Linked DNA regions of Mus musculus. The protein of the gene in region 3 interacts with the protein of the main gene of each other region in a biochemical or structural test. Links are inferred from orthologs where the notes say so. Each region holds a gene or a part of one and is shown on either strand. Other genes may lie near its edges.

Region 1 (3,500 bases), on a different chromosome or scaffold from region 3:
GTCCTGACTACATGGGTTTCTGTCCAGAAAACCAAAAAGGGTGACCAAGGAGTGGTTGAGAGCACCTGTTACTCTTTCAGAAGGCTGGGGTTTGATTTCTAACAACCACATAGTGGCTCGGAACCCTCTGTAACTCCATTACCAGGGACCCTGACACCACCTTCAGACTCTGCCTTGGAACCATGTCCCAAGTGGTGCACAGACACATATATGCAGGCAAAAACTATCCATACACATTAAAATGGAAAAAGAAAAAAGGGATTAAAAGGATTATATAGAATATATTATGGGAACAGGGTAGAAAATGCAATTAAAAAAACTTACCTCAGAGAAACGGTCAAAATTCGACATGTCTTCATCTGAGTCATCCTCCCAGTCTTTCCAATTATTGAAGTCCACACTGAGCCAATTAAGCTAGAGATCAACAATATCACCTCCATGTTATTCATAACCAGTAATGAGACATAAAATCAGCTCAAAAAGAAAAATCCACAAGAAACCAAGAGGGGTAATAAGTCAAGGAATCATTTTTCTTCCCCCCGAGACAGGGTTTCTCTGTGTAGCCCTGGCTGTCCTGGAACTCACTTTGTAGACCAGGCTGGCCTGGAACTCAGAAATCTGCCTGCCTCTGCCTCCCTAGTGCTGGGATTAAAGGCCTGCGCCACCACAGACTGGCTCCAGGAATCATTTTTGACTGTCCAATTTAACCTTTCATACAAAAACATTTATTGGGAAGTATTGCATGATACCTGGAATTAATCCAATTTACAAAGGCTAACATTCAACTATTAATCCGTCTTTAGAGATGGATTATAGGTCATGCTGTTAGGTTGTTTCCAACCTACAGCTTTGTGCATATTAGGTATTCTGTCAACTGAGATACCCCAGTGCCACTGTTTACAGTCTACGCAGTACCTCACTATGAAGGTACTTGGCTGGCCTCAAATTCAAAGAAATATCCTGTTTCTAACATACTCTCCCCTTGTACCATCTTGTGATCAGAACTCAGGCCTTCAGGTTTGGCAGTTAATCACCTTCACCCTGCCAGCCTATCCTCAGTTCCTTGAATCTTGAATGTCACTAAACTTTGCTCCCCTACAGTAACCAAGTAACTTATCAGTATGCTGGCTAATTTGTCACCTCAACACTGGTTACAGTCCTCTGAGAGGAGGGAACCCAACTGAGAAAAATGCCATCGTAAGATCCAGATGTAAGGCATTTACTTAATTAGTGATTGAAGGGCCGAGCTCACTTGGGGTGGGGGTCATCCCTGTGCTGGCAGTCCTGGGTTCTATAAGAAACAGAGGCTGGACAAGCCATGAGAAGCAAGCAGCACCCTCCATGGACTAGCAGCTCCTGCCTCCAAGTTCTTGCTCTGCTATGATGGACTAAGAATATGAAGTATAAGCAATATAAATAAACTCTTTCCTCCCCAAATTGTTTCAAATGGTGTTTCGTCACATCAATAGTAACTAAGAAACCCAGGCAAGCTAGTCTTGATGTCACAACCTTTCTGCCTTAGCCTCAAGTGTGCCACCACACCTGATGCAAAAGTTTGTCTCTCCAATGCAAAAGATCCTAATCAACTACGGTCTGATTTTATGACATTTGATGAGAATGCCAAGTATAGAACACCAGCTTTTTTACAATTATAAAAATGTATTGCCGGGAGTGGTGGCACACGCCTTTAATCCCAGCACTCAGGAGGCAGAGGCAGGTGGATTTCTGAGTTTACAAAGTGAGTTCCAGGACAGCCAGGGCTATACAGTGAAACCCTGTCTAGAAAAGCCAAAAAAAAAAAAGTATTTTTAGGCTTAAAAAGATTCTGCCTACAGGCCAGAAGAGGGCACTAGATCTCATTATAGATGGTTGTGAGCCACCATGTGGTTGCTGAGAATTGAACACAGGACCTTCCAAAGAGCAGACAGTGAGTGCTCTTAACCTCTTAGCCAGCTCTTTGCCCTATTTTTATTTTATTTTTTTAAAGTACAGAATAGAGCTTATTCAGGACATAGGGAGGGGAGTTAAGAGAATAGCAGAAGCAGAGAAAAGCAGAGGAGAAAGTGGAGAAGTAGAGGCCAACCATGACCACTTGGAGAGGGGAGGGGGCAAGACGGAATGGGGAGAAAGGGAGAGCAAAGGGGCAAGAGGCAAGCGAAAGAAGCAGGAGTAAAAGACACCTATTTTTAATTCTTAAAACATTAAAACAATCAAACAGAAACCAAAACAAAACAAAAAACCCAACCTACCTTTGCCCTTTCCTTTGTTAACCTAGGCCATGACTGGCCGGATTCTCCTTTTCGCAAACAACATAAAATCGATCTGTCTGTTCTTTTATGCTTGGAATCCTACAACAAAAGCATCATATCACTCATCTCTCTGCTATGATAAAAACAGCCCTCCCACCATACTGCTAAGGGATAATATTTAGGACCTTGAAACATGCTAGGAAAGTTCTCTGTAACAGAGCTGGACCTTCATAATTTGGTTGTTACTGTGCAGCCCAGTCTTGAACCCAAGATCCTCCACAATTAGCCCCCTGAGTGTTTGAGGGATCCTCTACACAAAGTTTTGTCTCTTTCCTCTGAGGTGGTTTTCCTACATAGGCAAAGCTTTTCTGAGTTGCTACTACTTCCTAAACTTTCAGCTTATAGCCACAAGCCTGATTCATTTTTTAAAATTTCTTTCCAAACAAGCTTTTTGGCTACTCAAAATTTCTGATAGAAGATAGAAAGATTTCAAAGGTACTGTCATTTTGCCAGTGACAGAATAAAAAATATGTAGGAAGAGAGGTTGCTGAGTGTCTAAACTGTTAGGCTAAGCAGATTTAAGATTTAATGTTTATTATTGTGGTAGTTTAAATGAAAGTGGCCTCACAGGCTCATAGGGACTGGCATTGTTGAGAAGGGTGGCACTATTGGGGGGAGTGTGCCTCTTCAGGTGGGCTTTGATGTCTCTTCCTGCCTCTCCAGGTGTAGAACCCTTAGTTACTTCTCTGGCACAATTATCTGCCTACATGCCATCATGCTTCCCTCTGTGACAACAATGGACTGAATCCTTGAGCTGGAAACCAGCCCGTTTCCCTTTATAAAAACTGCCATGTCATGGTTTCCTCACAGCAACAAACCCTAAGATAACAGCAGCACGCCCAGCTTCTCATCATTTAAATCAGAAAAAAAGCATCAATGGTACTTACATTTGGATCGATACAATGAAAAAGATCAATTTCATTTAAATGCTTAAAATTATCGCTTCCTCCAAGACAACTAAAAAAAAAAAAAAAAGTGAGACAGAGAAAGAGATTAGAAAGCCAGTTACATACAGTAAGCTTTGGGTAACACAGATGTAGAAAGGTGGCTGGCTAGTTCATGTCAATTCTACACAATCCTAGAGACAGGAGCCTCAAAGGAGAAAATGCTTCTATAAGATCAGACTGTAAGAAGGCCTATACTATAGTACATTTCTTAGTGATTGATAGGAAAGGGCCCAGCCCATTGTGG
Region 2 (3,500 bases), on a different chromosome or scaffold from region 3:
ATCGACCTACAAATGTGTTTGTCATTAAGCTGTTGGCCTGTAATAGCACCGTCTGCAAATTTGGTTATCAATGATAGTCTAAGAGTCTGGCTTTCCAGCCTCTCCAGAAACACGAGAGAATCTAGAAGCTGAGCTATCACCTTCACTGGGATGAAGCTGAAAGGGAAGGTCCAGTTTACCTCAGGCTATACCTTTCCTCCTGTTTCCTCATCCCAGCCTGCACACCGGCAATCACTGCAATACAGCGGCAGCATTGGAACGCCCTCTCTGAGAGCTCACGAGTCACACCTTTAAAGTGTAGATTCACTCAACAGATGAGTGGACAGAGGTTCTTCATCACTCATCCAACAAATGCACTCGGGAAGGCTGCCCATCCTGGCATCTTGACTGACATGTGTCTAAAGCTTGCGATGAAAAGCCCAGGTCACTGTGAGCCTTAAGACACACACATAAAAAACCCTTGCTGATTTCTACACACCATCTATTGTTTATATCTTTTTGTGTATGTACATGTGTGTATTTGTGCCACAGTGCACACATGGAGGTCAGAAGACAACCTTGGGTGTGGGTCCTCGCCTCACACTTTGTTCGATGTGGGATCTTCTTGTTCATAGTGAGGCAGCCAGACAAGCTGGCCCGTGAGCTCCTGGGGAGTGTCCTGCCTCTGATATCCTCATTCCCCTCTTGCTCAGGAGCATGGTATCACAGACACACCCATCACTCTCGGCTTTTCCTTGGGTTCTGAAGACCTGAACTCTGATCCTCACACGTGTGTAGCAAGCACTTTATCCACTGGGCTATCTCCCCGCTCTGCCATCTATGTATTTATTTATTTATTTATTTGCTTCTTCCAAGAGAATTGCATTCAAGAGCAACTGCCATATATCAATGGCAATTAATTTTATCAAACGCCTTAAATGAGAAAATGCCAGGCTCGAGTCAGGACTGGTCTGGTGTCCCTTTGACTTGTCTCAGGAACCCAAGCACTTAGCATTTTGCCTGGAAGATAGTGAAGCTAAGAAACACTGGCCGAGGACTACCAAGGAGATGCATAAACAGGTAATGTCTCTAACCGCTTAGTCAATGATGACAGCCATATTGTTCAAACTGCAAACACAACTTCCCACTGAGCTTTCCCAAAGCTGCCCCACGGGAGAAAGACATGGGACTTTGTATTCAGACATTCTACAGCCTGGAGGATACTGGGAACAGGCACTTGATAGAAGAGTTACTGAGTTGACACTCCCACGGGAATAGATCCAGACCGGGCAGAGGTCAACTTGATGCAGTCCTTCACTCCCAGCGTCCCCAGTACAGAGCACTATGCAGATGCCCAACTGACACTGGATGAATGAATGAATGTTGTCATCCCTTCTGGGGCCCCCACAGCAGCTACCCTAGCAGATGGCACTAGAGGGATCAGAGCTGGGGAGTGACATTCTCAAGTCTCCAAATCACACTGGGCAGTAGAGCTATGTGACCTGGGTTTCTTTTCTAGGGTGCTGAGCAGATTTCAACAACCATGTATCTTGCCAGGCAGGTCCCACCACTTTCATGTTACAACTGTGGAAATGGCGTCTCAGGGAGAGGGTATGGCTTGTAGCCATTCCAGGAAACACCTGGTGTTGTCTCTTTTATGCCCTTCCCATGGTGACTCATCTTAGAACTAAGAGTCCAGCTTCTCCCTCTACCCAGGTCTTCTCCCTCTCTCCTTCACTCACCTGGTCCCAGGTGTCCAGGAGCATGACGTCATCAGTAGCCAGGTCTTCCTGCATAAGCTCGCCAGGAACCTCTTCGATCTGGGAAGGGTCAAAGGGGGTCAATGAAGAAACATCAGCCCTATTGGTTCCCAGAATGAGTTTAGAGAGGGATGGTCTGCCTGCAGAGACCCTTCCCTGGGCCATCAGACTTTCTCCAGGCTCTGAGGTTCACTGAGCCCTGGACCTGCCTCCTTCCCTAGGCACAAGCAGAGGTGGCACCTCCAGACTCACCACAAAGCGTCCGATCCTGTTGGAGCAGGCAAAGAGTCGAGGAGGATGGGCATCCATCTTCTTGTCCTTAAGCCTGGGGGATGTGCGGTAGGCAGTCTTCCCGCCCAGAGCCTCCCAGAAGGCATCTGTGAGGGGAGATCACCTTGGTTGCCAAGGGAAACCCTTGACCCATGAGCACATCTCACCAGACCCCAGACCAAACTGCCCAAAGCCAGCTGGCTGTTCTCCACTCTAAGATCCCAAGGGGCTCAAGATGGAAGAGAATGGAAAGAAAGGCCTGAGAGGGTAAGCAGGCAGAAAACAGTGCAGAGACGAGAGCACTACAGAACGGGGCTAATTATCTCTTCTCAGCACATGAGTCAGTAGATGCCCAGAGACAGGACAGCAATTTACCTAAAACAGCCTGGGAATGGAAAAACCAGGAGGCAAATCTGTTTTAAGTCCGATTTCCATGCTCTTTCTACAATACCTGCTGTCTACGTGTGTTCTGCATTTTTACAGAAATGTATCACCGTTAAAGATACAACTTCCTTGTGTCCACTCATTGGCTCCAGCTACAGTTCAAGTCCTCAAAAGCCACAGTGACCATCAGCCACCAAATTGGGGCTGGGAGGTACAGAACACTCATCCTCATAGATGTGTCTGCTGGATGGAGAGGCTGCATGCCCACACATGCGTGGACAGAGCATACACAGACCAAGCTGTCCTTCACTGCTTCTGTGAGATACCAGGAAAGGGGGAGGGTTCTGAGTATCAGCAGAAAAGAGGGCTGAGGGCTGAAGCAGGGTCTTCCTCTCTATAGATCTGAAGGTCCGGGGCCTCTTTGACTCTGTCACTCATCGCTCTTACAAGACTTCCTGGGAAATAGTCAACAGCCCCTGAGGCCCCCTCGAACCATCCACACCAAGTTCCCCCTTTCTTCAGGAGACAAGAGATTATCTATCACTGGCTATCACCCTCATTCCATCAATACACTCGAGGTGAAGGCACCAGAGAAGGATGTGGAGATGGAGCTCCAGGCAGTGGGAATTGGTGGGTCCCCGCACCTGGCTCACTGCCTTCTTCCACCTGCACATGCTGGGACCGAAGCACCTTCAGAAGCTCCTGGGCGCCGGTCTTCTCCGCCTCACTGGCTCCTGCGCCCACCCACAGGTAGGCAGCGGAGGGGGTTTTCAGCACAAAGGCATCGTTGGAGTTCAGAGCACCAGACTTAGGCATCACCTGGAGGTGGAGTGGGACAGGCAGCACTCAACTAATCAGGGGCCAGGAAAAAACAACCCTGCCCCTCCTTATAGCCAGGAGACTCTGCAGTAGGACAAACTTCTTCCCTTCAGAAATGGAGAGCACAAAGTTTGGAGACTGAGCGGGTCTGGCTAATTCCCATGTTTCTTGGATGCATGTGATGAGGGAGAAGTCTCCAGAATTTGGGGCTGCCTTAGCAAAAGTTGTATGTTCAAAACAAAGGAAGTGATAGAGTAATTCACAGCACCAAGACCATAGTGTCTGCTG
Region 3 (2,954 bases):
GATGAATAAAACAAATAGTATTCAAAAAGGCCCCCCCCCATAGGGTTTTTGTATTTATTTTCAGATTAACTACAGGATTCATTGTGTTTAGCTTAGAAGTACACTGCTTAGAAGATACCTAGTGGATAAAATAAACAAGATGAGTATATTTTATTTGTTTAATAGATCTATCTATCTATCTATCTATCTATCTATCTATCTATCTATCTATCTATCTCTCTATCTACTTATTGTGTGCATGTAGCTGTGCATGTGCCAGACAGTACACATGGAACTCAAAAGACAACTGTGAGAGCCAGGTTTTCTCAGACTACGATATGCACATAACCACATACAGGTTTACACCCACAAACAACTGAACACCGTGTGTGTGTGTGTGTGTGTGTGTGTGTGTGTGTGGTTGTTTATATGACAATGACCCCCATAGGCTCACATGTTTGAATACTTGGTCCCGAGTAAGTGGAACTTTTTGGGAAGGATTGGGAATCATGGCCTTGGTGAAAGTGGTGTGTCAGGTGGACTTTGAGGACTCAAAAGCCAGCATCATTTCCAGTTAGTTCTCTCTACCTTGTGCTGTGCTTGTAGATGGAGATGTAAGCCTACACCTGTCTACTGCATGGCCGCCCTCACCTCCACCCCCGTTTCCTGCCACAATGGTCCACAGACTCTCATCCTCTGTACTCACAGGCTCCATATTAAACATTTTCTTTTGTAAGTTGCCTTGGTCATGGCGTTCTGTCACGGCAATAGGAAAGTAACTAAGATGGCGGGTTAGTTATTTTAGGGATGTAAGGGTACTTTTGTAAAGGGTATATAAACATCTTACTAGCCTTTAGAATAGGCTTCACTGCTCAGCTTCATAATGTGTCACAATATAACTCATCTAATATCCACACAAAACATCCTTTTGACATTTTCTCACCAGGTGCTGTAGAGTAAGCATACAGGAAGTCAGCCTCCACCGGTATCTTCTGGCAAGCCATCTCCTCATCAGTCCCACTGTCTGTCTCAATGCCACAGTCCAGCTCCGTACCCCGGCAGGCCTGGGTGTCGGAAGACATACATACGCTTCTTATAAAAATACACACACACAGTTTACATCTGAAAACTCTAAGTGTGGTCTGAGAACTAGGAAGTTAAAAAAAAAAAAAAAAAAAGAGCAACACTGTACTGGCCGGTTTTGTGTGTCAACTTGATACAAGCTGGAGTTATCACAGAGAAAGGAATCTCCCTTGAGGAAATGCCTCCATGAGATCCAGCTGTAAGGCATTTTCTCAATTAGAGATCAAGTCGGGAGGACCCATTGTGGGTGGTGGCATCCCTGGGTTGGTAGTGCTGGGTTCTGGTTCTATAAGAAAGCAAGCTGAGCAAGCCAGGAGAAGCAAGCCAGTAAGCAGCATCCCTCCATGGCCTCTGCATCAGCTCCTGCTTCCTGCCCTGTGTGAGTTCCTGTTCTGACTCATTTGGTGATGAACAGCAATGTGGAAGTGTAAGCCAAATAAACCCTTTCTTCCCCGACTTGCTTCTTGGTCATGATGTTTGTGGAGGAATAGAAGCCCTGACTAAGACAAACACTGTGATGTACTCTAGATTCCCTAAATGGATGTTTAAACAAATAAAAATATAGCAGTTCTGTAGCCCATTTAACTAAGTTAACCAAACTGAGCACCGAGCTGCTGGGCAATGCCCTACCTGAATGATGAAGAGTTTCGGCTTTCCAGTCAGACTCCGGCAGTAGTCGCCTCTGAAGAAGCTAGTCAACTTTTTCAGTTCAACAGGCCCATTTGTCCCATAAATGACCCCTTCATCACCATGGCTTAGAATCACACACACAAAGCTGCTCCTTTTGCTATGATCTTCCTTAGAAACTGGAAAGACAGTCAGAAATAATATAAAACAGAGCAGAGATGGGAAGGCACATGGCAGCCTGGCACTGTATACAGTAAAGAGCCCAGGCTTATCTGATCTGTATCTAGCTTTCTCACTGGACGAAGACAGCTTTGACTTCATGGTCTTAGCTTCCTGAGTTCTGGGGTTACTGTTATACCATGACAAGATGAAGATGCTGAAAATTGAATTTCAAGAGCATCCAAGTCTAACACAGGCAGAGCACATTTGGAACCATTTTTAGGGAATGGCGTAATTTTCTTTTCTTTCTTTTTACTTTTTACTAAAAAATATAAGCAGCTGGGGGTGGTAGCGCATGCCTTTAGTCCCACCACACAGGGAGCAGAGGCAGGCAGATCTTTGTAAGCTGGAGGCTAGCCTGTCTAAATAGTGAGACTGTATCTTAAAATCAAAGCAAAACAAAAAACAAACAAAAAAACCAATCAGAATAATGTACAGTGTAGTTCTATAATTTTCATACTCGACTCTCTCTATCACTATAGTTAGACCATGAAGTAAAATTACCCAATGAAGATCATTCTAGAGAACTACATATATGCAATTTTGAGCATATTCACAAATATATATCCCCTATTCCACCCAACTTTATGCCCCTCTCCCCTTTATAAATAAAAATAACACAAGGTCCAATTTGTGCTGGCCATATACAGTCAAGAGTGGGCCCATCCACTGCAACACAGCCAACCAATCGGGGACCACACCCATAAATACAGTGGGCCCTCCTTCCTCCAGCAGCCATCAGTTGTCAATAGCTTCCTGGGCTCCCTTCTGTGTAAGGATGCGGACTGCTGGATCCTGCTAGCAGCGATGCTGCCTTGCTCCTACACCCTTTCTGCCTGTCTTCTGCGATGGTGCCTGAGCCTTGGGTTTGGGTGTGGGTTGGGATCCAGGTGCCCCATTCTGACTAAGCTCCGCAGACACTTAATCTCTGTTCTTTGACCAGCTGCGGGCTGCTGTCCACCGCCCACCGAAGCTTCCGAAGGACCTGCTTTGAATTGGTTCTATCTTACCACTATCCATTAATTCCAAAATGTCTTCACGAGTAA

The links.
Region 1: of the proteins of Casp3 (region 3) and Ptges3, one has a biochemical effect on the other in vitro, tested with the Homo sapiens proteins (2 studies listed by BioGRID and IntAct). The link is inferred for Mus musculus from reciprocal best matches to the Homo sapiens genes CASP3 and PTGES3.
Region 2: of the proteins of Casp3 (region 3) and Gsn, one has a biochemical effect on the other in vitro, tested with the Homo sapiens proteins (2 studies listed by BioGRID). The link is inferred for Mus musculus from reciprocal best matches to the Homo sapiens genes CASP3 and GSN.

The regions. Positions count from the first base shown.
Region 1 is NC_000076.6:128,068,982-128,072,481, reverse strand, and holds part of Ptges3 (prostaglandin E synthase 3), read right to left. Parts: intron 3,267-3,500; coding exon 3,197-3,266; intron 2,349-3,196; coding exon 2,250-2,348; intron 415-2,249; coding exon 325-414; intron 1-324. UniProt on the Homo sapiens protein: Cytosolic prostaglandin synthase that catalyzes the oxidoreduction of prostaglandin endoperoxide H2 (PGH2) to prostaglandin E2 (PGE2).
Region 2 is NC_000068.7:35,302,880-35,306,379, reverse strand, and holds part of Gsn (gelsolin isoform 1 precursor), read right to left. Parts: intron 3,213-3,500; coding exon 3,038-3,212; intron 2,117-3,037; coding exon 1,992-2,116; intron 1,800-1,991; coding exon 1,722-1,799; intron 1-1,721. UniProt on the Homo sapiens protein: Calcium-regulated, actin-modulating protein that binds to the plus (or barbed) ends of actin monomers or filaments, preventing monomer exchange (end-blocking or capping).
Region 3 is NC_000074.6:46,634,291-46,637,244, reverse strand, and holds part of Casp3 (caspase-3), read right to left. Parts: coding exon 2,919-2,954; intron 1,869-2,918; coding exon 1,693-1,868; intron 1,044-1,692; coding exon 923-1,043; intron 1-922. UniProt on the Homo sapiens protein: Thiol protease that acts as a major effector caspase involved in the execution phase of apoptosis. Following cleavage and activation by initiator caspases (CASP8, CASP9 and/or CASP10), mediates execution of apoptosis by catalyzing cleavage of many proteins.